7 linked regions of the Ovis aries genome follow. The protein of the gene in region 6 purifies or fractionates together with the protein of the main gene of each other region. This does not show direct contact. Links are inferred from orthologs where the notes say so. Each region holds a gene or a part of one and is shown on either strand. Other genes may lie near its edges. The genes, in order: POLA1, XRCC1, IGF1R, CDK4, CCND1, PCNA and DCLRE1A.

What was found.
Region 1: the proteins of PCNA (region 6) and POLA1 fractionate together in Homo sapiens (co-fractionation; 3 studies listed by BioGRID). This does not show direct contact. The link is inferred for Ovis aries from reciprocal best matches to the Homo sapiens genes PCNA and POLA1.
Region 2: the proteins of PCNA (region 6) and XRCC1 purify together in Homo sapiens (affinity purification with western blotting; 3 studies listed by BioGRID, with this or other methods). This does not show direct contact. The link is inferred for Ovis aries from reciprocal best matches to the Homo sapiens genes PCNA and XRCC1.
Region 3: the proteins of PCNA (region 6) and IGF1R purify together in Homo sapiens (affinity purification with western blotting; 3 studies listed by BioGRID, with this or other methods). This does not show direct contact. The link is inferred for Ovis aries from reciprocal best matches to the Homo sapiens genes PCNA and IGF1R.
Region 4: the proteins of PCNA (region 6) and CDK4 purify together in Homo sapiens (affinity purification with western blotting; 5 studies listed by BioGRID and IntAct, with this or other methods). This does not show direct contact. The link is inferred for Ovis aries from reciprocal best matches to the Homo sapiens genes PCNA and CDK4.
Region 5: the proteins of PCNA (region 6) and CCND1 purify together in Homo sapiens (affinity purification with western blotting; 5 studies listed by BioGRID and IntAct, with this or other methods). This does not show direct contact. The link is inferred for Ovis aries from reciprocal best matches to the Homo sapiens genes PCNA and CCND1.
Region 7: the proteins of PCNA (region 6) and DCLRE1A purify together in Homo sapiens (affinity purification with western blotting; 3 studies listed by BioGRID and IntAct, with this or other methods). This does not show direct contact. The link is inferred for Ovis aries from reciprocal best matches to the Homo sapiens genes PCNA and DCLRE1A.

What each region holds. Positions count from the first base shown.
Region 1 is NC_056080.1:22,998,026-23,001,721, reverse strand, and holds part of POLA1 (DNA polymerase alpha catalytic subunit), read right to left. Parts: intron 2,733-3,696; coding exon 2,636-2,732; intron 770-2,635; coding exon 689-769; intron 1-688. UniProt on the Homo sapiens protein: Catalytic subunit of the DNA polymerase alpha complex (also known as the alpha DNA polymerase-primase complex) which plays an essential role in the initiation of DNA synthesis.
Region 2 is NC_056067.1:51,485,013-51,489,215, reverse strand, and holds the start of XRCC1 (DNA repair protein XRCC1), read left to right. Parts: upstream 1-1,345; 5' UTR 1,346-1,514; coding exon 1,515-1,628; exon of another isoform or gene 1,629-1,704; intron 1,705-2,271; coding exon 2,272-2,364; intron 2,365-4,203. Other genes in the region: phospholipase A2 inhibitor and Ly6/PLAUR domain-containing protein-like, read right to left, coding at 1-61. UniProt on the Homo sapiens protein: Scaffold protein involved in DNA single-strand break repair by mediating the assembly of DNA break repair protein complexes. Negatively regulates ADP-ribosyltransferase activity of PARP1 during base-excision repair in order to prevent excessive PARP1 activity.
Region 3 is NC_056071.1:7,454,100-7,457,795, forward strand, and holds part of IGF1R (insulin-like growth factor 1 receptor), read left to right. Parts: coding exon 1-63; intron 64-1,962; coding exon 1,963-2,089; intron 2,090-3,607; coding exon 3,608-3,696. UniProt on the Homo sapiens protein: Receptor tyrosine kinase which mediates actions of insulin-like growth factor 1 (IGF1). Binds IGF1 with high affinity and IGF2 and insulin (INS) with a lower affinity. The activated IGF1R is involved in cell growth and survival control.
Region 4 is NC_056056.1:161,900,442-161,904,554, reverse strand, and holds CDK4 (cyclin-dependent kinase 4), read right to left. Parts: upstream 2,728-4,113; coding exon 2,510-2,727; intron 2,344-2,509; coding exon 2,208-2,343; intron 2,093-2,207; coding exon 1,925-2,092; intron 1,773-1,924; coding exon 1,663-1,772; intron 1,413-1,662; coding exon 1,362-1,412; intron 1,217-1,361; coding exon 1,081-1,216; intron 673-1,080; coding exon 580-672; downstream 1-579.
Region 5 is NC_056074.1:43,280,898-43,285,072, reverse strand, and holds the start of CCND1 (G1/S-specific cyclin-D1), read right to left. Parts: upstream 2,949-4,175; 5' UTR 2,789-2,948; coding exon 2,591-2,788; intron 1,005-2,590; coding exon 789-1,004; intron 283-788; coding exon 123-282; intron 1-122. UniProt on the Homo sapiens protein: Regulatory component of the cyclin D1-CDK4 (DC) complex that phosphorylates and inhibits members of the retinoblastoma (RB) protein family including RB1 and regulates the cell-cycle during G(1)/S transition.
Region 6 is NC_056066.1:47,047,931-47,052,155, forward strand, and holds the start of PCNA (proliferating cell nuclear antigen), read right to left. Parts: upstream 2,972-4,225; 5' UTR 2,852-2,971; coding exon 2,631-2,851; intron 1,544-2,630; coding exon 1,446-1,543; intron 1,312-1,445; coding exon 1,244-1,311; intron 516-1,243; coding exon 321-515; intron 1-320. UniProt on the Homo sapiens protein: Auxiliary protein of DNA polymerase delta and epsilon, is involved in the control of eukaryotic DNA replication by increasing the polymerase's processibility during elongation of the leading strand.
Region 7 is NC_056075.1:33,846,804-33,850,948, forward strand, and holds the start of DCLRE1A (DNA cross-link repair 1A protein), read right to left. Parts: upstream 2,868-4,145; 5' UTR 2,817-2,867; intron 2,311-2,816; 5' UTR 1,678-2,310; coding exon 1,212-1,677; intron 1-1,211. Other genes in the region: NHLRC2 (NHL repeat-containing protein 2), read left to right, coding at 3,312-3,489. UniProt on the Homo sapiens protein: May be required for DNA interstrand cross-link repair. Also required for checkpoint mediated cell cycle arrest in early prophase in response to mitotic spindle poisons.

The sequences.
Region 1 (3,696 bases), on a different chromosome or scaffold from region 6:
ACTAAAATGTTCACTTTAGTGGAATTGTATGGTATGTTAATTCTATCTCAGTAAAGCTATTCTAAAATAAACCAGCTCTAAGTGAGCCACAGAATGTTGGCCAGTGATCTACCACTTGGTGGTAACAATGAACTAAATTTAAAAAAACATATGAAGAAAATTTCCACCTCTCATTTTACAGGAACGAAATCGGGCTTGTTGACTCAAAAATTTTTTTGCCAATGATTGTGATAGCTATGAGAATATAACACATTCATTCACATCGTTTTAAATTTCAATTAAACAAAGCAAGTTAACAGAAAATCGAAGCCTTGTTATTGTACTGTGCTTCTATCAAAGAGCTAAAATCCTAAGTAACTTCAGCAGGAATGAAAAGACATCATTATGCTTGTAGCCATCAAAATCAGCAAATCTAAAATGACCACAGCATTGAAAATTCTAAAATAAGTAAGACTAAACTCTTTGGATAGAGAGATGTGATATTTCATTTCCTGGTTGTTTTTGCTTTCCATGCTTAATTTTCTACATAACTACACTTCTTTCAATATTAGAACATTTTCTATACTCAAACACAATTGTGGTAGGTCCGTTTCCCCTGAAGAAACTGTATCAAAGTACCAAGTCATCTGAAATTTTAGACAATTTCTTAAATCTCAAAATGGCCCTCTTAAAAACAAAATGCAGGTACCTTTCTCATGGGAATCAAGAGCATCATCTTCAAGGTCATCATCAAAAATTTCCCGGCCATCCTCCACATAGCCAATACCATCTGCAGGAAAAAAATTTCATTATTAGGATCAAATTTCTAAACATAGCCAATATTTTGCCCATGACAAAAAAATAAAAACCCCCAATCAGATGTTCTCCTGGTCCATGTCATTTTAAAATGCAGCAGAATCCTGTTCAACCAAAAGTCAGATGAAACACAGCCCTCACACAGGTTTTCTGAGTCAAAACCAAAGGATATACAGCTGACCCTCACACAACTTGGAAGTTAACCCACATATAACTTACAGTCAGCCATCAGTATCTACAGCTCCTCTACAATTGTGGATTCAAACAACCACAGATGGTGTAGCACTATTGTATTTATTATCGAAAAATAGCCACACATATATAACTTTGCCAACAAACATCCCATCTAGTCAAGGCTATGGTTTTCCAGTGGTCATGTATGGATGTGAGAGTTGGACTGTGAAGAAGGCTGAGCACCGAAGAATTGATGCTTTTGAACTGTGGTGTTGGAGAAGACTCTTGAGAGTCCCTTGGACTGCAAGGAGATCCAACCAGTCCATTCTGAAGGAGATCAGTCCTGGGTGTTCTTTGGAAGGAATGATGCTAAAGCTGAAACTCCAGTACTTTGGCCACCTCATGCGAAGAGTTGACTCACTGGAAAAGATTCTGATGCTGGGAGGGATTGGGGGCAGGAGGAGAAAGGGATGACAGAGGATGAGATGGCTGGATGGCATCACCGACTCTATGGACATGAGTTTGAGTGAACTCCAGGAGTTGGTGATGGACAGGGAGGCCTGGCATGCTGCAATTCATGGGGTCGCAAAGAGTTGGATACGACTGAGCGACTGAACTGAACTGAACTGAAGCAGTTTAAACCCGTGCTGTTCAAGGATCAGCTATATACTATGCCTATTTATATGAACTAGGAAATAATTTGGCCCACAGGATCAAAGTTTGCCACAATAGGATGCTTTACAGTACTTCTACTCTGCTGCTGCTGCTGCTAAGTCACTTCAGTCTTATCCGACTCTGTGCGACCCCACAGACGGCAGCCCACCAGGCTCTGCCGTCCCTGGGATTCTCCAGGCAAGAACAATGGAGTGGGTTGCCATTTCCTTCTCCAATGCAAGAAAGTGAAAAGTGAAAGTGAAGTTGCTCAGTCGTGTCTGACTCTTAGCAAACCTATGGACTGCAGCCCACCAGGCTCCTCCATCCATGGGAGTTTCCAGGCAAGAGTACTGGAGTGGGTTGCCATTGCCTTCTCCAACTTCTACTCTACCAGAAGAATAAAAAGAATAAAGATCACCAGAAGTCCAGAAAAGCAATTTAGTCTGCAAGTTCAAGTTGGGAATATAGCCAAGTCCAATTACAGAAATAGGAACATAAACAGTGGCAGGCGCAGTCTACACCCCCTTTCTCTGCTGCGTGGTTGGCACTCACACACCCAAGAAGTCACATCCCACAAACAGGAACCACAGAGCTTTCCAGAAGGGCTATGAGAACATGGGGACCAGCCTATGTCTACCCAGGGCTTTCCACTGTCCAAGTCACTCTTCATGAGTACAGTCTTGTGTAATCCTCACAGCCATTCTGTGACATATTTTCCTCTACCCCATCACATGGAGACAGCCCACAGGTGTGAGATTCCTCCAAACTCCTACACAGTCACTTCCTGGAGGATTTATACTATAGTCTGAGGTGTATGTCTGGTTTCTCCAAAATGCCCCTCGACAAAACTTTCCATCGTTCTGCTTCCACACCCTCAAATCATGCATTTAAGAAAAATCCAAGCCAAAGGTGCCTTACATCTACCTGTCCAAGCAAAGAAACAACTCTGCTGCATAAGAACTTATGAAAAGCTACTGACACAGTGTCTGGCAGGTGGCTTCTTCCCACCTACCGTCATCCACGATCCAGTCGTCATCCTGGCGGGCCTGGACCAGCTTCGAGTACTGTTCCTCATCAACTTCTTCATAAACACTCGTGAAGTCCTCTACCTGCCATCATACAAGTTTGAGAAAGCTCAAGTGGAGTGAAAGTGTTAAACAATTCTGATGAAAAAATTGTCAAATTCAAAGTGGAATGGCAGCCTGAAAGAGTTAGCTGCAACCAAATCATGAGTTCTGACATTCAACACCACTGCAGGGTTTTCCTTAAATAGACATCAATTAACTTAGTATTCCTTTTAGGTGGGTGTTAACATAAGATATTAAATGATTCCATTAGCATAATACACTTGTCACACCATCAATTACTCATCTACTTCATAAAAAACAAACTGAATTATAGCCAATTCTTCATTAGCTGCTTTGGGGATTAGTCATTTGTAATTTCGAGATTGGTTTCTCCTGTACTTGGCAAACCTGTGAGACATGCTGCCTCCCTTTCCGCTAGCTGATGGTGCCCCCCAAAAAGACAGTAATCTCCATAACTGTTCAACCGATCAAATGAAATTCCAAAATCTCCCCCATCCAGCCCCCTCCAAAAACCAGGAAAACAAACACAGTCTATATTCTACAGGTGCACTACAAATGGTTTTAGAGTAATCCTTGTTTGTATCACCACTGATCCCTAACCATTTTGGGGTGTCAAAAACCAAGTGCAAGTGCAGAGTGGCAAGACTGGTAATTACACAGGCTGCCTGACCCTCAGAAGGCCAGAATTCCGCCAACCACTGACACGAAGACAGCAGACCAGCTAAGCACAGTTAAAGCACAGAGACACACACCACTGCCGCAGCTGCCATGGTGACAGGTCATTAATGTCCCAGGTGAGAATTTGGTGGGCTGGTTATCAAGAACTTAAACATACCCTGCTAAAAATCCCCCTCTTCTCTTGACAGTTCTGCCTTTCCAAGTGAGGGGTGGAAGAAACGACCAGCTCCATCTGAAGACCTAAGACTCTAGGGGAAAAAACACCTGGACACAGAGCTTGGAGAGCCTGATGGGCAGAGTTGACTGG
Region 2 (4,203 bases), on a different chromosome or scaffold from region 6:
GGAGGGTGCAGAGCAGAGCGGAGGCCAGCAGGAAGGTCTCGGGTTTCATGGAAGGATTCATGATGGATGGATGAGTGACCCTGCAGGCCTGGGTCCCCAGCTGTTCTTATAGGAAGCTGGGAAGGGGTGGCTCTGGACCTACCTTACCCCTAGGCTAAGAAATGATGAGGTAAGCCCTGGGGTAGGTCTCTCCAGCTCTGAGTGGGGGAGAGGGAAACAGAATCCAAAAGGAGCAGTGGCATCTTGTGCCCAGCCCCCTCCTCCATGCAGCCCCAGGCATTTGGGCTTCCAACCCTCTCTTCCATCAGGTCCCACCGCACCGGCCGTCACCACCTTTTTTTCTAATGTTAAGCCCACGATCAGAATCAGGTCATTTTGTTTCCTGTAGGGGAGAGCAGCTGCTAGGACTCAGGTGCCCTCCCCCTTCTCTCCTTCCCCAAGGAGGTGCCCAGTGTGGGTGAGGCACTACCTGTGAGCGCCCAGCAAGTCCAGGCTTGTTTTGCTGGCGCGAGCTTGGCTCATACTCCCTTTTCTGTGTTTGGTCTGTCTCCATCTCCGACCCCACCCCAGGATGCACATGGGTCTCTCGGAGACGGAACAGAGGGCTGCTTGTTCAGGGCATGGGGATGGTAGTGGACAGATGCCCAGAGTTCCCATTGGAAAAGGAAGGCTGGGTGTGTGTCTGGTTCGGGCACACACTTTGTGGTTTATTAAGGTCCTTTACACAATGTCTCTGCCTCAGGCCTGATCTTCAGGGATCAGAGATTTTCTTGTGGGTGTGTGTCTGGATGTGTGTCTGTGTGTTGGTGTGGGGAGGGTAGCCAGCCAGCCAGCCATGGAGGGGATCGTGTTGCGGTAGGCTCCCGGCTTCCTGAAAAAATGCACTCAAGATTGCTGGCCTCTTGCTTTCCAGGCTTCAGTTAGGGCGCTGAGGACGGCGAATTTCTGCTGGGGACCAATCCTGCAGGCCAAGCCAGTTGCTAGGAAAGCCTGGTGTGAAAGTGACTGGGAGGAGGGGCGAGAGAGCCGTTTGGCCAGAGCCAGGCGGGAAAAGCTCGTTGCTAGGGAACTCGGCTCCTCTGGGCGCTCTCCGGGGAGACGCACTAGGCATGCGCAGTGGTGACGTAACCGCCGGCGCGCCGCGGTTTGAAAGGCCCGAGCCTCGTGCGCTTGCGCAGTGAAGGCCGCACGGGGCGCACCCCCTGTGAGCCCCCGAAACTCAGACCTTCGTGCATCTTTTGGGTCGGGCGAAGCCCTCTCGACGTTGACATGCCGGAGATCCGCCTCCGCCATGTGGTGTCCTGCAGTAGCCAGGACTCGGTGAGGGACTGGCGTGGGGGAGGGTGGAAGAAGTGAAGGAATTCGTCAGCGGGCTCTGGAACTTCTGGAGTCTCAGAGGTGTTGAAAAATAATCCGTATGCGGGGTGCCAAGAAAGAGCTTGGGGTTCTTACGAATTGCAGTTTGGGAGACAGATTCCGTTGAACGGAGTGTTGGCAGCGGGAATCAGGCGCTTATGAGGACAGAGGTCGCAGGTTATTACAGTCGTGTGGAGAGAATTCTAATTGGTTGTGATACACGGAAAGAAGTATTTGGCTTTAAAGAAGACGCTGTTCTGAGTTACCGGAGGGTAAGGGTCTGATAAGTACCTTGAGTTTCTGGCACATATTCTGGATGCCTGTGTGAATACAATAAGTGGTCAAAAGGTCAGATTCCACTGTAGCTGCGACCCGCTTGGTCAGAATTCCTCCGTAGCCCCCCGGTCAATCTTTGAGAACACTTTTAGCAATGCGGACTTCATTTTGGTTTTCCTTTCACAAAGGGGACTTTGTGTAATTCTAGGAGGGTCATGGGAGAATTTCTGGGAGGCCATAGGGAATTTTGGAGAGATGTGGGATCGAGAAATTTGCTGAGAGAAAAGTAGGGTGCTTTGCTTCCTGGGAAGGAGCAGAGGTGAATTTCTAGGGGGAAATGTTGGAGGGGACTCCAGGTAGAGTGTGGAGGGATTTATTATTTTAACACTAGAAGGTTTTGTATTGGGGTATAGACAGATAACAATGTTGGGATAGTTTCAGGTGAACAGCAAAGGGACTCAGACATACATATCCATGTATCCATTCTTCCTCAAACCCCAGAGTGTGGGGGGATTGATAAGGAAACTGAAACCTGGGTGATGTCAGATGGCTTGAGAGAACTCTCAGACTAATCTGAGAGCTGGGGACATAGCCCTCACCTCTGAACCCTAACGTTTCCTTTTCTACTCTTCTCTCCAGACCTACTGTGCAGAAAACCTTCTCAAGGCAGACACTTACCGTAAATGGCGAGCAGCCAAGGCGGGTGAGAAGACCATCTCTGTGGTGCTCCAGGTGATTCTGCCAGCTGCCACCTCCCCCCACCCCCAGCCCCCGCCATCTTTTTTTTCCCCCTCTCTGCTGGGTGGTATGTGGGATATTAGTTCTCTGACCATGAACAGAACTGGAGCCCCTTGCTTTGGAAGCTCAGAGTCTTAACCTCTGGGCCCCCAGAGAAGTCCCCCTCCCTCCATCTCCTTAATAGAAATCTGTAGGTCCAGGGTCCACACTCTACTCTGGAGTTAACTGGCAGTGAGCTGAGGCACTTTCTCTTTGGTCCCCACCACCTCACCTGGACAATAAGCAGTGTGGTCCCTGTGCCCTTAGCAGAGGAGAGAGGTGAGGCAAGGACTAGGCCAGGAATGAATCCGTGTGTGGTCCAGGTAGGTTGCTGCTCTTTTCAGAGCCTTATCCTCAGTTGGAAGAGAGTAAACCATTGCCACGCATTCTGCCTTCTCAAGGCCCTGGGCTTAGGACTGGAAGGTGTCTCATATCTAAGCCAATCAACCTCATTTTAAAGATGGAGAAACTGAGGCCTAGGAAGGGCCAAAGTGAAGTGGCCAGCCTAGTGGCCATCGTGGAATGCAGAGTGCTGTGGTACGTGTTGGTGAAGTTGGAGGCAGCAAAGGGAAAAGGGCAGTTTGACCCAGGATGGTGACAGACTTCCCAACAGGCTTTTCCCATCAGGCACAAGGAACTGGTAGGAGAAGCGAGCTAGTGAGTTCCCAGGGCTGCCTGGGTGTTACCCTGCGTGATCTGGCTCTCCAAGGAGTCGAATGGTGGTGGAGCTGTTATCACCCCTCATGCATGGCAGTGCTGCGAGTTGAACCCAGTGTGGGTGCTCTAGCCATCTCTTTCTTCTTTGTGTCTATATGTTGACTTAACTTTGTTTTTTATATTTATTCATATTTGGCTGTGTTGGGTCTTAGTTGCAGCATGTGGGATCTAGTTAGCTGGCCAGGGTTGGGAACCTGGGCACCCTGCATTGGGAGCATGGAGTTGTAGCTCCTGGATCTCCTGAGAAGTCTCTGTCTTTTTTATTTTTAATTTTTGGCCACACCACATGACACTTTGGGGCGTTAGTTCCTCAGCCAGGGATTGAACCTGCCCCCAGCCCCCTGCCCCGTTGGCGGCACGGATTCTTAACCACTGGACCACCAGGGAAGTCCTCCACTTCTGGATTTTGGCCACATTCATCCCTCCAATGTAAGGGTGTTTGGGGAGGGATGCTGGGCAAGGCCTGCCGGATTGTGTTAAATTTATTATTGTCTGTCTTACCCAGTGGTTCTGAAAATGTTTTGGTTCATAGACCTTTTTGCAAATTAGAGAGAAGCTAAGAATTCTTCTCCCAAGAATTATACACAAAGTCACAGGATTTTGTGAATGATTTTTGAACTTTTAATATTTCATAGTTCCCTAAGGTAGTATAGTCAGAATAATGAGAGCTAAGAGTTTATTCACAGATACAACTGTTTGGGAATAGCCTGGTGGGCCAGTGGTTAGGATTCCACTCCATGCCACAAGGCCCAGGTTCAATGCCCAACTTGGGAAAATGCTCCCCACCTCAGAAAAAAAAAACAAAACCCTGCCAGTTACCATTCTAAATGCCTCATATGGGTTAGTTCATTGAATCCTCATAAAAATCCCATCACCTCAAATCTATTATTATCCCCTGTATGATGCAGAAACTAGGCCCAGAGAGAGTATACATTTGCCTAGAGGCAGTATTCTCAACTGAGAGAGAGATGCAGGTGGCTGACAAGTTAATCTCAGGTGGAATTCAAGTCCCCATCTCCCTCTCTTACTCTCGCTGTGACCTCAGGCAAATAGTTTCATGTCTCAGAAGCTGTCTTC
Region 3 (3,696 bases), on a different chromosome or scaffold from region 6:
GGACTAAGGGGCGCCAGAGCAAAGGCGACATAAACACCAGGAACAACGGGGAGAGAGCCTCCTGTGAGTGCGACCTCCCACACTGCGCGGTGGCTTCTGTTCGTGGCCCCTCCTCACTTCACGCAGGCCTCTTAAACCGACACCTGGACATCTTCAAAGGCAGTAGTGAGGCAGATTCGTATTAGTAAATTTTCAGTAGCATCTATCTGTGTATAAACGTTTATAAATGGCTTTTCGCTTAGATTTTAAAGAGGGGCTTACAGAATACACAGAGTTAAGCATCTTTAATGCTCAGGCAGACTGTTGGATTGTTTTCCAGGGGAGAGCTGGTCCTCTCCAGCCCTGGGAGGGAGTGAGCCTAGCCCTGAGTCTCCGGGGTGGAGGGGAGGTCTGAGGGCAGGGAGGCTCAGCTGCAGCCCCTGTGGCCATGGGCCCCCAACCTGGATCCTGGTCCCAGCACAGCATGAAAAATGGAGAGAGACTGCCTCCCTGAATTGATAGCTACTTTTTAAATTTAGGACAGTATAATTATAATCTTATATTGGTTATATGACTTCTGCTTGAAGGTTTTGCCTCTGAATGGTGAGTTTCTCACCTAACCTTGTATGTAAAACTGTTTTTAAAAACGGTGTGCCTCTGTGTGGCTGGATCAGGTTATGAAGGTAAATGCTCTCTCCACCATTGGCTTTTGATAAGGGACAATATGCAAAAAAACATAGACTAGCCCCTGTGATCCGGGGTGGTTTGCACACACGCACACTGGCCAGAGAGAATCTTAGAGACTGTCAGCACTGGACTTCATTTTGTGGGCTTGGGATTCACCCTGTAGACTCTCGAGTTGCCCAGGAAGGGATTTTAGAGGAGAGAAACCCGACGCAGAGCTGGAGGGCCTTCTTCCTGCACGCCACACGCCCCCTCGCCACGCTCCTGTTTAGACCATCGCAGAGTGGATGTCGCATAGCTCTCTCAAAGTGTTTTTCTGCTGAGAGGCAGCCAGTCTGACCTGTTGGATCATGAATACAGTAGCCATTTATTGTCTTTGGGGGGAGAAAAATGATGTTTCCTCTGTAAATAACATTTTAGCGGAAACTGCAGCATTTTTTCCATCTCAATCCATCACGTTTTGCCCCACAGACATCTTGGGTTGTAACTGTTGCTGGCCTCTGCTTCACCTCCCAAGGGTGGAGGGTGCAGTGGGAGGGAGTCGGCAAACACAGGGCCGGGGGCGGGAAGGTCCATTCATAGGAGAGCTCGGGTCTCAGCCGGGCGGCTTCCGCAACCCTCCCTGAGTTCTCAGCTGTTTGAATCTGGTCTGGGAGCACGAGGGGACTTGGGACAGCCTCCCTGTGGTGCTCCCGGCCCAGGCTCCTCCCACAGAGGACGGGAGCCGTGCTGAGCGAGGTGGGCTCTGTTAGTGCCCGGTCCATTCCCCGCTACGTGTCGGCACTGCTGGAGCCTCCAGGGAGTTCCTGGAGGTGTCGCGCAGGAAGGTGTCAGTTCCAAGCTCAGGCTAAGTAAAGTTCCCCTCCTGTGGCACACCTGCCCCGTTACTGACGCGACCAGGCAGATCCGCAGTGGTGAGACAGGTGTCACCTTGTCTAAGAAGACTCGTCCAGCGTCAAGGTCCCCAGGCCCCTCGGTGGCCCACATCTCAGGCATGAACAGAGACAAGCTCCCTTGGTGCAGCCAGCAGTCCTCTTCCAGGTTATTAAGGATTTCCCACAGGTTCACATCCAGAGCCCCTCGTAAGCGAAAGCAAAGGACAGAGCCCCTTGCAGGCCCTGTAGTGCAGTGTTTGGGTCCTTAGTGGAGACAGCAGGGTCACTGAGACGTTCCAACAGGGGCTTTGCACGCACAGCCAGCTTTGGGGGAGAGGGTCATGGTGCCGGGCAGGTGAGCCCGCGGGAGGGAGGGAGGGGAGGGCGGAGATCGCAGTCCCTCACGCGTGTGCCTCTGCCCCAGGTGAAAGTGACGTCCTGCATTTCACCTCCACCACCACGTCGAAGAACCGAATCATCATCACCTGGCACCGGTACCGGCCCCCCGACTACCGGGACCTCATCAGCTTCACCGTCTACTACAAGGAAGCGTGAGTGTCTGCGCTGCGGATGTCCTTCTGTGGGCGGGCTTCATCCTCCCCCCAGCCCTGCTGTCCGGTGACAGCCGCAACCACCAGTGACAGCTGTAAATGAAAAAGTGTTTTCTCAACGCCTTTCCTTCTCCAGGGGGTGTTTAGAGATGCTTGAATTTAAAAAGTCCAAAGCGAAAAACTTAGTGACTTAGGTCAGTCCAAACATTCAGAAGCTGGGATGGAGCGTGTGGTGGCGGCATCATTGTAGCCTTGGTGCCCTCTAACCCATAGTCCACAGACACCTGAGTCGGGGTGCTCAGCCCCCCTCGAGGTGACCCTCAGAGGAGTCCGTAGTCTTCTCCCGTCGCTCTCTGTGGCCCCTCCCCAGATGTGGCCCTCCACTGTAGATCGTAAACCCTCCAAACTAGGGGTGGAGACTGGAGAGAGACTGACCTCCCTGTCCCGAACCTTTCAGGATCTCTCCCAGAATCTGCCAGGGGCATTTCTTGTCCTTCAGGGGACACCTGCCTGCCCGGGCAGCCAGCACGTCTCTCCTGATGGCAGGGATGTCTTCTTGGTCCGCCCCTCCCTTCCGGTGCCTCCTGCATCCGGGTGGTTGCCTGGGCCTCTTAGTCACCCTCTTCACCCAGGTCCCGCCTTGATGCCTCTCCCGGTGCCTGGCTTCTCTGGAGCTGGAACCAGAGCCATGGTGGCAGCATCTGGTACCCCTTCTCCTGCCACAGCTGGGGCCCTGGGAGTGTCATGCCCATGAGAAGGCGCAGATGCAGGATTCTCAGGCATTCACCGTCCCTGCATGTGGGAGTCACTCATCCGCTGTCACGACGATTGGGAGGGGTGTGTGAATGCCGGTTTCAGAAACCAGTGGTGGTCCAGCCCTTCCATCTGAGGGGCGTGGGATCCCTGTCCAGCTCCGCATCTGTGCAGAACCACCGTCCTCTTTGACAGTCCTACCAGTGCTCTGGCAGGGTCGGCTGGCACTTTCACCAAGGGATTGACATTAGTAGCTGAGATAACCTGGAAACTAAATATTTGAATGTGATAAAAATGCTTAAGCAATCAGAATTGTTTGTGAGCAAATTAGATTTTGGAGGCTGTATTTGAGAAGCCGTTTGTCTGTGGCAAAGGCATTTTCCTCCAGAAGTTATTCTTATCAATAACTGATGTTTGCATTAAGTGACTGCCCTTGTTTTTTCTTTATGGTGGAAAAAAAAAATGCCACAGTGGGAAGAAAGGGAAAGAGTATTTGTATATACTCTTCAGGAGCAGTGTTTCCAATCTCAGTAATTACAGAACTTACTCTTCCTGAGGCAGAGGGTTTGATTCTATAGTATATAGAGAACCAGCTGAGACCTGGAGTCCGGTAGCTTACTTTGGTTCTGTAAAGATCTAACTGCTGATATGTTTTACCTAGAATCCCCATTATGGAAAGTGGAAGGGGACACCCGGGGGAGGTTTCTTAGAGTTTCCACGTTAGCACTGTAAAGCACTGTCTGAGGTTCGTTGACTGTGTTTCAGCCCCTTTAAAAACGTCACGGAGTATGATGGGCAGGACGCCTGCGGCTCCAACAGCTGGAACATGGTGGACGTGGACCTCCCGCCCAACA
Region 4 (4,113 bases), on a different chromosome or scaffold from region 6:
CAGGGACAGATCCCGAGAGAAAACTACCAAGAACTCTTGTAATAAGGAGGACCTGGTTTGGGGAGGTTCAATAAATATAAAAATAAAAACCATTTAAACTCTATAATCAAAGAAGCCATGTAAATGCCTTTCCTTCCCTTGTTAGTAGAGGGGCTCCACTGACCCTGTGATCTAAAGAGAATCTGCAAGGAAATTCCATCTTCCAAATGGTTTTTTCCAAATTCCCAAACAGTAAAGCCAATCAGAGGAAGAAATATTAAAAAAAAAAAAAGACCATATTTGTTTTGTTTGTCCTGTATAAAAAAGGATCCCAATATAAAGGTATAAAGAAGGGGAGAACAAGGGACATATCTCTTGGTGTAAGGACACAGGATAAGGATAAGCCTCAAAAAGAAGGGTGGGAGGGGAATATTGTTAAGGCAGTAAAATATTGTCTGTAAAAAGTTGGAGGAGTCGTCTCCACAGCTTCAGAGGTGAAGGCAGAGGTTGCCTTCTCAGTGGTGGGGCTCTCCACTCAAGTGTTCAAAAGAAGGGAAATTTGTGTCTCTCGCCTTGGTTCTGTTCCAGCCATTCTGTTGCTCACTCTGCGTCACCTTCTGCCTTGTGTAGATAAGAGTGCTGCAGGGCTCGGAAGGCAGAGATTCGCTTGTGTGGGTTAAAAGTCAGCATCTCCTGAGAAGAGACGCAAATGTCAGAAAACATGGAAGAAACAAAAGGGACTCCTGCTTAACCCTAACAATACCTAGAATGGGTGATTTTTTTCTATCCCTCTTGTGGCCAGCCGTTCAAAACAGTAATAAAAACCAACCTGTTCATTATCAAGTCTCAGTAACAACAATGCATTTGGGTCCCTTTTATCCTGCTCCATTTCCCCCCACTGATGGCTCAAGTGGTAAAATAAACTGCCTGCAATGCAGGAGACCTAGATTCAATCCCTGGGATGACCCGCTGGAGAAGGAAATGGCAACCCACTCCAGTGGGCTACAGTCCATGGGGTTGTAAAGAGTCTGACAGGACTGAGTGACAAACACGTGATTTCCCCCTGTAGTCTCGCCCTGTGCCCATGCCTGAGTCTATTACCAGCAGCAGCTGTGCTCCGGATTCCTCCAGCTCAGGGACCACTGACTGCACTGGGCGGGGCCCTCTGGGGGAAAAGGCTCCTCGGGGTAGAGAGACATCTCGGGGCCAGTCATCCTCCGGGGGCAGTCCGATCAGGCTATGGGGAACAAGAGAATTCTGGTCAGGAGGGCCTTTTTCCAGCCCCCATCTCCAGGGGCAGAGCCAGCTGCTGTCAAGGACTCAGCAGAATGCAAAGTCAAGGACTCGGAATGCAAAGTTCTTCCCCCTTGCAGGTCACTTACTCAAAGATTTTGCCTAACTGGTCAGCTTCAGAGTTTCCACAGAAGAGAGGCCTAAGGTGAAAAGAGACAGTCATTCCAGTAGCAGTTTTACAAAGACAGGGTGGTAGATACTGTTTAGTGGCTCAAAACATAGGGTGTGGAGAATAAAGGGCTATGAAATTCCTAATTCCAGAACATTTCAGAGTTTCCGGCTATGGACAAGGTGGCCAATAGTAAGTGGAAGAGCAGGCAGGGTATAGGCGTGGCTTATGAATAAAAAACTTGGGAAATTCAAAATGTTTGGGATACTTGGGCCCCATACTTTCGACGAAACATCTCTGCAAAGATACAGCCAACACTCCACATGTCCACGGGTGTTGCATACGTAGACTGCAAAAGAACTTCTGGAGCACGATACCAGAGTGTAACAACCTGATGGGAATAAGTAATGCGGATGAGAGTCCTGCAAGTTACTGCAAAGCACATGGAAAAACACGCTCCTTCTCAACTGTTATGGGCAATCACTCTTCTCCCCCAGCCAGACCCCACTCTGGCCCCATCCTGGCCACCATCATTCTACTGACCACAGGTGTAAGTGCCATCTGGTAGCTGTAGATTCTGGCCAGGCCAAAGTCAGCCAGCTTGACTGTCCCACCACTTGTCACCAGAATGTTCTCTGGCTTCAGGTCTCGGTGAACGATGCAGTTGGCATGAAGGAAATCCAGGCCTCTTAGAAACTGGCGCATCAGATCCTGGTTTGGAAGGGGGAAGTACAGAGAAACTGGGAATCAGGTGCCACACCTGAAATTACAACAAACTACCACAAAGGTCTCAAGCTATCTCTCAGTGTCTGCCCGCCCTACTTACCTTTATGGTCTCCACTGGCAAGCCTGGTGGGGGTGCCTTGTCCAGATACGTCCTGAGGTCTTGGTCCACATGCTCAAACACCAGGGTCACTTTGGTCTCCCGGTCAGTTCGGGCTGTTGCACAGACGTCCATGAGCCTGGCCAGAACAAATGGTCACTCATTGAGCAATGGTCTTGGACCCAACATGGCCTCCCCTATTTCCTCAGGGTTCCCACTCCTCTTCTGACCACCACTCCACATCTACAGGTTAGGCTGTCTTTTTCCTTTCACGACCCATTCCCACCCTTCCATCTTCTTCTCACCTGACAACATTGGGATGCTCAAAAGCCTCCAGACGCCGCAGTAAGGCCACCTCCCGAACGGTGCTGATGGGCAGGCCCCCTCCAGCACCTCCTCCGTTGGGGACTCTCACACTCTTGAGGGCCACAAAGTGGCCACTGTGAGGATCACGGGCCTTGTACACTGTCCCATAGGCACCGACACCAATCTCAGCCACTGGCTCGTATCGAGAGGTAGCCATTCTCAGACCAGAGGAGGCCCTACAATCACAGAGGCTCAATGAGCCTGCAGCAACAAAGTGACTCCCACAAAAGACATCACGAAGACAACACCAACAGCATTCCCAAGCTTCCCTGAAGGCAGCCCCCTAGGTAACACAATAACTCTAACCCCAAACCCTCCAGCCACGTGAGGCCCTATAACTTTTTCAAAGATGCATTTTCCTTGGGGACCATCAAGCCCCACACAAGGGAAATCCCATAAGACACACCCCCTACATCAAAGACCCGACACCCAGTTCCTGAAATTACACCTCCCTTCGGCCACAAAGGAACATTATCACATCCTGCCCCACTTCCCGCCCTCGAGCAACCCTTCCATAACCAGCCCGCGTAGGAAGCAGTGGACGGCGAGAATGGTCCCCATTCCTGAAAAGGGCTACACTCACCTCGCCCCGTGTCAGGAGCTGCGGGGTCGGCCCGTTATCCGGACCCCGGAGCCGGTTCCTGCAGCGCCATACACTCGAGGTCTGTCCTGGGCAGCTGGACGCTATGGGCCCGACCATAGACACAGGCCGCAGGCTAGAGCGGCCCCCTTTACCCCCACCCTCACCATGTGACCAGCTGCCAAAGAGGCGCGCGGAAATTGGAGGGGCGGGGCCAACGCCGGACGTTCGGACCACGTGACCGGACTACTCATGCGCGGAGGGGCAGCCAGAAAGCGGCTTTGAACGAGAAAGGGGCGAGGAGGGGAAAGAGGCGGAGAGAGATGGCAACCACATGATCTGTTGCTATCACACGTGACCGCTTGACATTGCTTGGAGGAGCAGAGGTGTGGTTACGCTGAAGGGCACGTGACTGGCTGCCTTAACTCTGGCTGGGCGTTGGGGCGGGAGAAGAGAGAGGGTGGAGTCCAATGCGATGCCATGGCAACCTGGGCCACCCAGGATTCCCAACTCCGGGCTGCAAGCCGAGCCTGAGTCTCACTACCTGTCTCTCACTCTCTCTAAGCGGGGAGATGGGTCGAGGGACGGGAGGTGCTGCTGTCGTCTTTCTGCTCCATCGCTAGCAGAAAACATGTTCTCATTTGTGTCTTTGTTTCATTCATTCATTCAGCAAATGTTTACTGAGTCCTTGCTTCCTGTGTGTCTGTGGGGTTTCTTTTTTTTGTTAATTTTTTTTCGACAAGTGTCGCAGACACTTGACCTTTATCTATAAAGATACAGTCACATAGTTTATATGTGGTCATATAAAATAGGGAGTAGACGGTGCCCAGTTCAGTTCAGTTGCTCAGTCGTGTCTGACTCTTTGCGACCCCATGGACTACAGCACGCCAGGCTTCCCTGTCCATCACCAACTCCCAGAGCTTACTCGAACTCATGTCCATCCAGTCAGTGATGCCATCCAAC
Region 5 (4,175 bases), on a different chromosome or scaffold from region 6:
GAGCGCTTCCAAGAACGGGAGGGGCCCGGGGAAGATGTTCCCGCATCTCCCCCGACGCGGAAAACCGAGGCATGGGCCAAGCAGCTCCTCCCGGGCACCAGCGGCGGGGACCAGCACCCTACCTGTGGCACAGAGGGCAACGAAGGTCTGCGCGTGTTTGCGGATGATCTGCTTGTTCTCCTCGGCCACCGGCATTTTGGAGAGGAAGTGCTCGATGAAGTCGTGCGGGGTCATGGCCGCCAGGTTCCACTTGAGTTTGTTCACCAGGACCAGCTCCATGTGCTGCGGACCCGGGGGAAACGCGTGTCGAGAGGCGCAGGCGCGGACCCCAGTGGAGCAGGGGTCGGAGAGAGGGGATGGGGGTCGCTGGAGGGTCCGGGAAGTGAGGGGGAGAGCGCGCGACCCCACATTCCGTGCAGGGACGGTGCTGCTCGCCAAGGGTCCTACCCTAAACTCAGCCCACCCTGGGCCGGCGGAGACCAGGGGCCCGCCCACACCTGGAACGCGGAGCCGGGTCAACCGCGCGGGCGCCGCCCCGCCGCCGCCGCTGGAGGGCGCGCGCCCCCCACTTTTCGCAACGCTGGGGGCGCAGAGGTGGTGGGAGTCAGAGGGAAAGCGAGGGGGGCGGCGGCGCGGCTGCGGGGCGGCGCGGGGCCCCGCCCGTGCGGCCGCCTTCCTTGGGGGCGAGGGTCTCTCGGCGGCCCGCCGGGGACCCCCGCGCCTCCCCCACCCCGGGGTCCCGCGGCTAACTGGGCGTTCAGGGGCCGTGGCGGGGGTCCCAGGGTTACCAGCAGCTCGTCGGGCCGGATGGAGTTGTCAGTGTAGACGCACAGCTTCTCGGCCGTCAGGGGGATGGTCTCCTTCATCTTCGAGGCCACGAACATGCAGGTGGCCCCCAGCAGCTGCAGGCGGCTCTTTTTCACGGGCTCCAGCGACAGGAAGCGGTCCAGGTAGTTCATGGCCAGCGGGAAGACCTCCTCCTCGCACTTCTGCTCCTCGCAGACCTGCCGGGGGGCACCGGGGGCCGTGACCGCCGCCGCCGCCGCCGCCGCCGGGAGCGCCCGGCCCCTCTGCGGAGACCTCGCGCCCCCCGACCCGGCTCGCGCCAGGGCGGCTGGACTGCGAGGTCTCTGAGCGCGCGGAGGGTCGGGGCAAGGGGCAGCAGAAGCCGCCGCCGCCGCGCCCCTCTTCCCCGGGAGTCCCCAATACTCACCCACCCCGAAACTGAAAGGGAAAGTCCCAGCTAGGCTGGCACAGTGGGGGCGGGAGCGGGCACAGCTGGGCGGCGTGTGTCGCGCGCGGGCTGTGGGTCCCAGGGACCCCGGCCCGCGTGGGTGCTTCGGGAGCCGCCAGACCTGGGGTCGGCAAAAAATGGGGCGCAGGGCCGCGGGGAGGGCCGCGGGGCTGGGCGCCGCGCTCGCAGCGCCTGCGAGACACAAAGGTGGCGTCCCAGGCCGCCGCGCCGCATTTCCCCAGACGTCATCTTTTCAAAAAATATTTAAAAATATAAAAAAATTAAGTGGGTACATAAAAATGCCCTGAAAATGACCCTCAGACTGTCCTTTACCCAGGCCGGGAGTCGGGAGCTCGTTGCGGGCTCAGGGGAGAGCCCCAGGAATTCAAACTCGGGGGCCCCCCTTCCCCCTGGGCGCGGGCGCCGTTTCCTTCTCGCAAGGGCACCACGCCGCACTTTCAAAAATTATTTTAAAATACTTGCGGTGCCCCGGGGAGCCCTCTGAAGGCCTGAAAACGTGCCCCTGGCCCCCAGCTCGCTCCAGACAGGTCCCCCAAGCTGAGATCCCGGCAGATGAGGGTCCATTCCTAGCGTCTTGGGGGCCACGCGACCTTGCAGCCCGGCGTGCTCTCTGGCCCAAGCTGGCCTTGCGGGACGCCCCGGGACCCACTGCTTGAACAAAGGGGCCCCCTTTCCCGAGAGGGGTCCCCCCACAACTACCCGAGCTCTGTCCCCGCGCCCCTCCCGCTGGGTCCCGGTGGCGGCGCGGCCCCTCGCGGCGGCCCCAAGCGCCTGGCCGGCCGCTCCCCGCCCCCACCCTGCCCCCAATTATTAATAAACACTTTTGCTTTGCAATAAAAGAACAAAGATGGCGCATAATACTGGCACGAGCGGCCCTTGCATACGTGTCCATGGATATTAATTTAAAAATCAAATCTATGCCCCCTCCCCCTGGAGCTGGCGGCTCAGCAGCCGCGCGGCCGCAAGAGGAGGCGCAGCGGGGCTGCGCGGTGGAGGTCCCGGCGGGGGCCACAAAGGACGCCCAGCCTGCGGGCCCGCACCCTGAAGCCAACTGGGGTGCCCGGGCAGTGGCTTTCCCCTAGGGTACCCCTCCTCGACCGCCGCCGCCCCCACCCACCCACGAAAGGAATTATCTAATGACCCCACCCCCACTCCCTCCTTGTTCAAAAAAATACCCTGAATATCTATATATTTTGGAACTACGATTCCTAGCAACACTCTGGCAAACTTCAAAGTTTGGGTGGGAGAGAAGGGAGGGTGATGAGTGGCAAAGAAAAGTGGGTTTGCGCAACAAGTCGCAGGAAAGTGCTAAGAGAGCCGCCCGGAGCCCCGCACCTCCAGCATCCAGGTGGCCACGATCTTCCGCATGGACGGCAGGATCTCCTTCTGCACACACTTGAAGTAGGACACCGAGGGCGCGCAGGTCTCCTCCGCCTTGAGCATGGCCCGCAGCACTCGGTCGTTGAGGAGGTTGGCATCGGGGTACGCCCGGCGAATGGTTTCCATCTCGCAGCACAGGAGCTGGTGTGCCATGGTTGGGGGCTCGGCTAGGTGGCCGGGGGGCGGCGATGGGTCCGGGGCTGGGTCGGCTCTCGACTCGGGCTCCTGCTGCCCCGCGCTCCCTCGAGCTCGTCTGCCCCTCGCCGGAGCGCGCGGACGCTGCTGCTCGCTGCTACTGCGCCGACAGCCCTCTGGAGGCTCTAGGACTTTGCAACTTCCAACAAAACTCCCCTGTAGTCCGTGTGACGTTACTGTTGTTAAGCAGAGATCAAAGCCGGGCAGAGAATGGGAGCGGGAAGGAGGGGGGCCGGGCGCAGGGGGAGGGGGCGCGGGCGCCGAGCGTCGGGGAGCGGCGAGGGGCAGAGCCCAAAAGCCATCCCGGAGGCGCCGCGCCTGCACCGCGCGGTGTTGCCCCCGAAGCCGGGTTTTCATAGAAATGCAAACCGTCCTAAGGCTGCCTTTCTCCCCGCCGAGGAAGAGGGGTGCAGGAGCGGGGGTTGGGGGGGGGGTCTGTCCTCCCCGAGCGGGTCCCGCAGGATTTGGGGGGTTGGGTGACGGTGGCTCTGCAGAGGGGGACAACTAGGAGGGCGGGCAGGCCACACGCAGCTGGGGGAGACCGTGTGGAGGGGGACGCTGGGGTTCGGTGACACTCTGAGCCGGGAGAATGGGCGCATTTCCGAGAACGCCACGAGGGCACCCACGGGCGGAGGCAGCCAAGGGATCTTAGCGTCTACGTCTTCTTTCATTTTCATTAACACGTGTAAATTTCAGGAACCATTTACCATTCAGGGACTCAGGGCAGAGCCGACAACCCCGGTGGAGGTTTCATTCCCGCACCGAGGGGGGTCTGTGCAAATGCCGGAGGGGTAACCCCCAAAGTTAAAGGGCTTTCAGCCTAACACGCGCTCGCTCAAAAAATAAAATAAAATAAATGCCCGAAAATTCCAGCAGCAGCCCAAGATGGTGGCCAGCATTTCCTTCGCCCTGTCCTCTTCGCCTGGGGGATCTGCGCACTGTCTTCCTACCTTAGCTAGTCCATTCTTGCGGGGGGCCCCCAACACTTCCCCCCCGCCCCCGCCCTGTGCCGGCAATTTAACAGCTAGAAAAACACTCTGAAAGGAAGGCTGCAAAACAGTGGTCTCTGTCCTGTCTCGTTTTTTTAATTAAAAATTAAGCTAAATCGCTGGAAATATTGGTCGCCTCCCCGCCTGGGAGAAGACCACCGGAAACTTCCTAATTGGCTTTGTTGGGGGTGTGGACCTCTCTTCACCTTTAGAATTTGCCCGGGGGCTGCATTCGAGAGCCTGAGGCGGTTGGCGGGGGTCTGGCAACAATCAGAACAATTACAAGTTAAAGAAATAGGTGTATTGATCTGATGATTTTAAACAAAACCTATATATATTCGTGGCTATACGCGAGT
Region 6 (4,225 bases):
GCTTAATTATTCGGTAAAAACATAGTAAATACCTCCAGAAATTTCCAAAATGATGGTATTGGAGGGGACTTTGGGAGGTGCTTACGTTAGGAAGGCAGACTCCTCATGAATGGGATTAGTGCCTTTTAGAGACCCCAGAGAACTCTCCTACCCCTTTCACCAGGTTAAAGAGGCTGCTGTCTTCTTAAATGAAGAAGCAGGCCCTCGTCAGACACCAAATCTGACCCAGTCTATGGTACTTTGAAACAGTAGCCTTACCAAACTAGGACATAACATAGTGTAATTCTTCAAAGTATTTTGTTTACTTGAAAACTACTTACAGCTTCCTCCTCTTTATCAACATTACTCGTCTGTGACAATTTAATATTTCCATTTCCAAGTTCTCCACTTGCAGAAAATTTCACTCCATCTTTAGCACAGGAAATTACAACAGCATCTCCAATATGACTGAGATCTCGGCATATACGTGCAAATTCACCAGAAGGCATCTTTACTACACAGCTATACTCTTGTTCCTATAAAACAAAGAAATGTAAAGGTCATGGAAATGAAAGATTTGGCACCCTCACTTCCTGAAGATTCAACATCTAAACAAGAACTCACAATTCAAGATTTTCTGATTACTCTGAAATATCACTCATTGTGCAATTTCTTAACATTCTACTAAAAAAAATGCAGATATAAAAAAGAATAATCATCATCATACTAAGAAACCAATTAGAACTTAAACTTTTAAAAGTAAATGCACTATCCAGGGAACAAGAGCCTCCAGCTAATCACTCTATAGGAGGTCTAAATCAAGAAGACATTAGTATATGGCATACAAATGGTAACAGCACAAATAGGTTTGCTTTCCAAAACAAGAGCGTGTTAGGCATTGTAAACATCTGAACACATCTTCTTTTGATGTTGATAAAACCTAACCATAATGAATTTCTGCTAAAATAGCTTTAAAATCTCAATAAAAATCAAGCACTCTAGGAATAATAATTTTTTTAAAAGATGCAGAGGTTAATGCAAATATGTCCTTGGCAGCAATGAATTCAAACCATAGCACTGTAGAACACCATAATTTAATAAAATGACAAATATATCAGTCTAAATACCCTACTCTGGAATATACATGAGCAGATATACAGAAAAGTTCTATTAGGAAGTAGGCTTTAAATTATTATATAAATATATGTTATGTAACTATCATAACTGTGTACAGCATGCTCAATCAGAAACTTTTGATACTCACTGGAATTCCAAGCTGTTCAACATCTAAATCCATTAACTTCATTTCATAGTCTGAAACCTTTTCCTGATCTACCAAAAGAAAGCAAATTTGAAGAAAAACACGTAAATTTACAACTAAGAGGTATATTTTACAATCATCAGACTTGGGAAATACACTGCATTTTAGTTTCCTCTGCCATAACTCAGTAGAAGGGTGGACTTACTTGGAGCTTCAAATACTAGTGCCAAGGTGTCCGCATTATCTTCAGCCCTTAAGGTAATGATGTCTTCATTGCCAGCACATTTTAGTATTTTGGACATGCTAGAACAGAGAAGACAAAGGGTTTTTAAACACCATCTTCTCAAGATCGTTAGTTTTCTAATGGAATTAAAATCAGGAGTTACCACTTTTAACCATTAGTTGCAGTTGTTTAGAGCGTAAGTGGTGTCTCCTGGACTGCAGCCTATCAGGGTCCTCTCTCTGTCCATGAGATTTCCCAGGCAAGAATACTGGAGTGGGTTGCCATTTCTTTCCCCAGGGGATCTTTTCCACCCAGGGATCGAACCCTCATCTTCTGCATTGGCAAAGTGATGCTTTACCAGTGAGCCACCAGGGAAACCCTTAACCAGTATGCCATCTGTCAGATTGGTGAGTTAGGAAAACGTACTGCACGGGGGATATGCAAGCCGGTCCAGACACTTTGGAATGCAATCTGGCAGTATAAACCCAAAAGGCCCACAACATACCAAAAGCAATTTCACTTCTGGATATAAATAAAAGAACAACATTTTATGAATTTCGAGTGGGTGAAGTAAATTATCGGGCCAACTATCTTTAAAAATGATCTAATAAACCTATTAAAGTACACGGCATGTACTATGGGTATTTATCATAAGCTTTAAGATTTAAACATGTGTAGTTCAAAAATTGAACGCCATTGCCCTGGAGAAAATTTTCAAGTCCAGGATCTTAGGGTGCTCACCGCAACTTTGCAGTAATAAAAGAAATACTCTGGTCCCTAGATAGTGTGACAGAACTAGGATACACTATAAAGCACTTTAAGTCAACCAGGACCAAGGTTTCTCATCCAAGTTGCTTGCACTTAACGACCAAAGCGTTCTGCAACAGTCTTTTCCTGAAACCGCAAAGTCCATCATTTTCCCGCCACCACACGCTTTGTGACTTTGGCGCGGAAAACAGCCGGTTCGCTGTTCGCGCTGCAGCCAGCGCGGGCTTTGCAAACCGCGCGCTCTGCTGGGTCCCGCCACCCGCCCAACTCCGCAGCAGGCCAATGAGAAGACGCAGATGGCCCACGCCAGCCAATGAGGGCCCGGCTCGTAGGAGCTCGCGCCAAGAGCCAGAGGTAGGAGCGGACCATGGCCCGGATGTCCGAGGCTTTGGAGCTCACCTGGTGAGGTTCACGCCCATGGCCAAGTTACGGTCGCAGCGGTAAGTGTCGAAGCCCTCGGAGCGAAGGGTTAGCTGCACCAAGGAGACATGAGACGAGTCCATGCTCTGTAGGTTCACGCCACTTGAGCTGATGTCCCAGCAGGCCTCATTGATGAGATCCTTAAGCGCCTCCAGCACTTTCTTCAAGATGGAGCCCTGGACCAGGCGCGCCTCGAACATGGTGGCGGAGTCGCAATGACACGGCTACAGGTACAAGGAGTGAGGAATGTGTAACCGGCTTAGGCTTCAGAGGATGAGAGCGAGAGGCAAAACACGATTACGAACGCCTGAGACGCCTCTAACAGCTAGCCGCGCCTGCAGCCGTTTAATACTGCCGCGTCTGCTAGCGCGCGCTACGTCTCCGTGCCCCTTGTTGATACGTCATCACGCTGCCCTCCCGCTGCCTGGGCGGAGAGACTGTAAAGCCAATCCTGTCCCTGCACTGCACGAAAGCCGCCCCACCCCGAGCATCCATTGGAGGATGCAGGTATGGGGGCGGGGCAGGAGCGCAGCGCTTCAGGGGCCCAGCAGATAGGCGTGCGCTGGAGTCTTGGCCGTTTTGTCATGTTCCGGCACCCGTAAGAGGAGTCCTTGTGAGTGTGAAAATCAGTCCTAGGCTGGGCGGGAATGGTCGATGAGCTGCGACGCTGTGCTGCCTCATCAGCCTCCCGCGTGAGGGGTAGAAAATTTACAGCCCTGAGTGAAACGTAAATCCAGGCTCTGTGCTCAGTCGCATCGGTTTGTCTGACTCTTTAGGAAGAAAAGCCACCTTTTCTTTAGCTGTTTGAAGGGAGGTACAGTTATGATTTAAAAAAAACAAGAAAAGTTATCTCCCTACTACCAGCTCTTAAAGCTCCTCCGCCACCTACACACAAATTGATATCATTTATTCTATGTAACTTTCTAAGTTTTTTTTCCTCTACAAGTATATATCTTTTAAAAAACAAAAATGAGTTCATGCCATAAAGAATTCAGCAAAGTGCTTACTAAAGTATGTTTAATTTTATGCCAGGTTCATGTTTTGTTTATCAGCACCTCTTAAAAAGATGGCATCATATCCTACAAATGTAACCTAACCTAACTGCCAATCTCTTGTAATTCGGGCAACTCCTTGAAGTAGTATTGTTGGATAGAGGAGCATACGCATTAAATTTTTGATAAATGTTAACTAAGTTGACTTCTAAAAGATTGTAATTTACATTCCAGCCAAGACTATGAGCATGCTCCTTGCCTCTAATTTTTCTGTTACTGGCAATCTAATTTTTAAATCTGTGCTCGTTTGTGTGGAAATTTCAATTTGCATATTAAAAGACTGGTGCAAATTGGATATCTTTCATACAGTTCTTGACCATTGCATGTTTATATTTTTTCTATTAAACTTTTTTCTGATTGATTAAAAGCATTTCATATATTAACCATCTCCCTATTATGAATATTCTCCCTTTGTTTCTTTTTTCCTTTGTTTACAGCATTTCTTTTTAGTTACTTCTAGTGTTTTACCTTGGTCTGTAGAATTCTTTAGTCTTTCTATCATGTATAGTGTGGATGTGGTTT
Region 7 (4,145 bases), on a different chromosome or scaffold from region 6:
TACTAGAATCTTAATAAACTAACACTCCTTCCTAGTTCTTCTCTCTGTACCTTAAGAAGAATGTACGGCATTCTTGACTTCAAGACTCCTGTGGACTACATTCATGCTTCTCTAAAAGGCTGTTTCATAAAAGATAAAATGGGCAAATCGTTCAACTTTTAAGAACACTAAGTGCTCAGAGTCTGCCTGCAATGAGGAAGACCTGGGTTCTATCCCTGGGTCAGGAAGATCTTCTGGCCAAGGAAATGGCAACCCACTCCAGTATTCTTGCCTGGGAAATGCCATGGACAGAGGAGCCTGGCAGGCTACATCCATGGGGCCGCAGAGTTGGACATGACTGAGCGACTTCACTTCACCCCTATTGGATATCAATTGCTGTTATTTAGTCACTAAGTCGAGAAGGGCATGGCAACCCACTCCAGTATTCTTGCCCGAAGAATCCCTATGGGCAGAGGAGCCTGGAGGGCTGCAGTGTCTGGGGTTGCAAAGGTTTGGACATGACTGAGCGACTAAGCACAGCACAGTTGCTAAGTCATATCTGACTCTTTTCGACCCTAGGGACTGTAGCCCCCCCAGGCTCCTCTGTCCATAGGATTTCCCAGGCAAGAATACCAGAGTGGATTGCCATTTCCTTCTCCAGGAGACCTTTCCAACCCAGGGACTGAAGCCATGGCTTCTGCACCAGCAGGTGGATTCTTTACCTCTGTGCCACCTGGGAAGCCCATTAGATGTCAACACCACCTACCTTATGCAGGTAAAAGTAGCCTAATATGTGCCCAATTAACATTTATGAAAAACCACAGATGTTTTGGAACTCTTATGAAATAATAAAATGCATCGAAACTTTCTTTTTTGGCCATGCAGCTTCTAGGATCTTAGTTCTTGAACCAGGGATTGAACCCATTCCACCTGCAGTGGAGGAAAGGAGCCCAAACCACTTACCACCAGGGAATTCCCCATTCAAAGTGTTTTCAGGTTTGCAACACTCTCTACAGCTATACCAATGACTAGTATCTTTTTAGCCTCACAAGAAGGGTCACAATGCATTATCTTGTTTCCTTCAAAGATGAGTCATTCTTACTTAAGAGTATCTCATCTCACTTCCGGTTTACTACTTATCTGGTTTCCTTCCTTCCTTCCAGATTGGTAAGTCTGGCCTCATTCAGGTCTTGTTGACTATTTCAAGCCCACTGTCTTTTTTGGAATCTTACCTGTTCCGGAGACTGGTGTGGAATCCAAACACTCAAAAACATGCCATCGAGGTGTTTGACCTAGCAAGCAGGAAAAAGGCATCTGGCAGTTGGGACAGTACCCATCATAAACCGGTCGTGTCTTTGGAGACACGTGTTTGTTTTTGTGAGTCCTACAGCGCTTTTCTGGAGTGACCTCTGTGTCTTGGCACTGTTGAATACCATCTCCACAAATGGAGTTCTGACTGGAAGCGACAGAAGTCTGACTGTCTGTTTCTCTAAGGCACGTTTCTGGGGTCTTGACCTTCTTTTTAGTTTCTACAGTCCTTTTTTTATTTCTGTTTCGTTTTGACTGGTGTTGTCCATCTGTTGCTTTTTCAACAAAATCTGGAATATTCTCAGAGCAATTATTTGGATGTACTCGTTTTGGTTTTCTTTTGGATTTGTATTCCCAGATGTCTTCTTCCAAAAAAGCATCTTCTAACATGGCAAAATGATTCTGATCATTAAAAAAGCACTAATCTTAAGTAAGTTGACAGTCTGTTTCTTGTTACAAAATTATTAAAGGGAATTATTTTGCTGAGGGAAAAAAAAAGTGACAAAAAACTTACTAACTTGATGGGACTCTAAAGCTCTGGTATTGAATATATTGGGAAACCACAAACCTTTTACCTAAGAACACTTGCTGTTTCATTTATGGCATCTGAGTTTTCCATTGTGTATACTTCATTCAGGTCTCTTGGCTTTTTCCAGGACTTGATTCATAAAAATAAGAATCAGTAATACTTTGAATACCAAGTCCTAATGGAAATCATAGGTTTAACAGACTAATTTTAGAAGGAGCTTTGTAAAATCCTTATAAAGCTCCTGTCAATTCTTTTTCAGCTGGACAAGTGTCCAAATCACAAATCCAACCACAGTCCCTAGGCAACTGACTCAGCAGATGCTCCAAACACTTAAAAGGCTACTTCAGCTTGCTAGCAACTCTAGTCATACCATAATCAAATGTGTGTGATTGGCAAAAGAAAAGTAATAGCCCTTATCCGTGACTCCAGGACATTCAACAACTTCGGTTTCCTGGGTCAGTCCAGTATCTTCCTCCAGCGGCAGTGAACAAGGGCTGCACAATGAACAAACAAAATTCAAGTATGTGAAGTTGGACCTGCACCGAGGACACCCCCACGCCTAACTTCAGATCGCAGAGGTGATCTGCCTGCGAGTGATCAGCTTTCTTTCCCACCAGCCTCAAAAACCAAGGTTCACCTGCCTGATGACACCCACCGGCTCGATCTCCTGTTTGGGCATTAGAGGCGGCAAGGCCAGTGGAGGGGGCCCTCATTCCCCTCCCCACTCCCAGGGCTGGGAGCCAACACAGCCCGCTCCGCAAAAGCCACCGGTGCCCCCACCCCTCTTCTGAGGGCAGACGCCCACCTGGCACCCTCACCACCCCCACCCCGCTGCGAGGAGCTCCAGCTGCGTCCGCTCCCCCCCGACACCCCTCGTCCGCCTGGTCCCCGTGTTCGCTCCTGCACTTTCACTGCACCGCCTGGTAATAAAACGCGGCGTTGGTGTATAAGCCAAGCCATTGGCTAGTCCCTCCCAACTTAAAAAAGCCTGCTCCTTTACCTTTCATGTCGTGGCGGGAACAGCTTCCCGTGACCAACGCTGTGTCGAATCGGCTGTTCCCGGTCTAAAACGGGAGCTTTGAAAAGAAAAAAAAAAAAGTTTGGGCCCTTTAAGTTCGACAGGTTTATTTTATTTTAGTTCTAAAACCTGCTAATTTCCAAACTGAAGGGCGGGAATTGTTCTCTTGGAGCTTCTAGAACGCCGGCCCAGGGGCCTTTTCCTTGTTGAATCTGGCGTTCCGAATGTCCAGGCTCCCCTGGGGCGAGAAGACTTAGGAGGGGCGGGGTACCTTGGGAAGGTAGTTTAATTACGTGCCTGGGAATCGCGCCGATTTACACTTTAGCCTTTGAACAAAGTGCCGTTAGCGTGGAGTGGGGCTGGTGGAAAGGGAGGCGAATGTGCGGTTTGGAAACCAAAGAACAATAAAGCGCTTCCTCTCTCTCCACACGAGACCGTCCCGCGGGCTGGGCGGCCCCTGGACCATCCGGAGAGAACATGGCGGCGCCCGGAGCCCGGAGCTGCAACCTCTCGGGCCTGCTCCCGGCTCAGACCTCGCTGGAGTACGCCCTGCTCGACGCCGTGACCCAGGAGGAGAAGGACGGCCTGGTCTACCAGTATCTGCAGAAGGTGGACGGCTGGGAGCAGGACTTGTCGGTGCCGGAGTTTCCGGAAGGTGAGGGGCTGGCTTCGGGGTGGGGACCCCTCCGGAACCTCCCCTTTCTCGCGGACCGCGCCCTCCCCTAAAGCGGTGGGCGAGGCGGCTGTACAGCCGAGCCGCGGAGAGACGCCTCGCCCAGCCGACTCTGTCCCCAGGCGGCAGCGAACGAGGGTTTGTGGAGGACGGGAACCTGCACCTTCGTCTCTGTCCTCCGGCTCTGCCCGGGCCTTGGGTTAACTCAGTTCACTGAGTTAAAGTTTCGTGGCCCCCATTGGCAGTGATTCCAGTGTCCACGCCACCCTGTCCTCTCAGTCTGGTTGCCCATCGTCATCATCATCTTTGTGCATCATCCAGGCTAACGGTTACGGATCACTTGTGGGCCACACAGAGTCCTAAACACAAAGTATTTGTAATTTAATCTTTGCAAACCACCTAGGTGGTCTTATTGCGTGGGTGCTTAGTCGCTCTGCCATGTCCAACTCTGCAGCCTCATGGACTGCAGCCTGCCGCTCTGTCCATGGGGATTCTCCAGGCAAGAATGCTGGAGTGGGCTGTCATGCCCTCCTCCAGGGGATGGGCCCAACACAGGGATCGAACACAGGTGTCCTGCATTGCAGGCGAATTCTGAGCCACCAGAGAATCCCAAGGTGGTCTTGTCAGCTCTGTTTTAC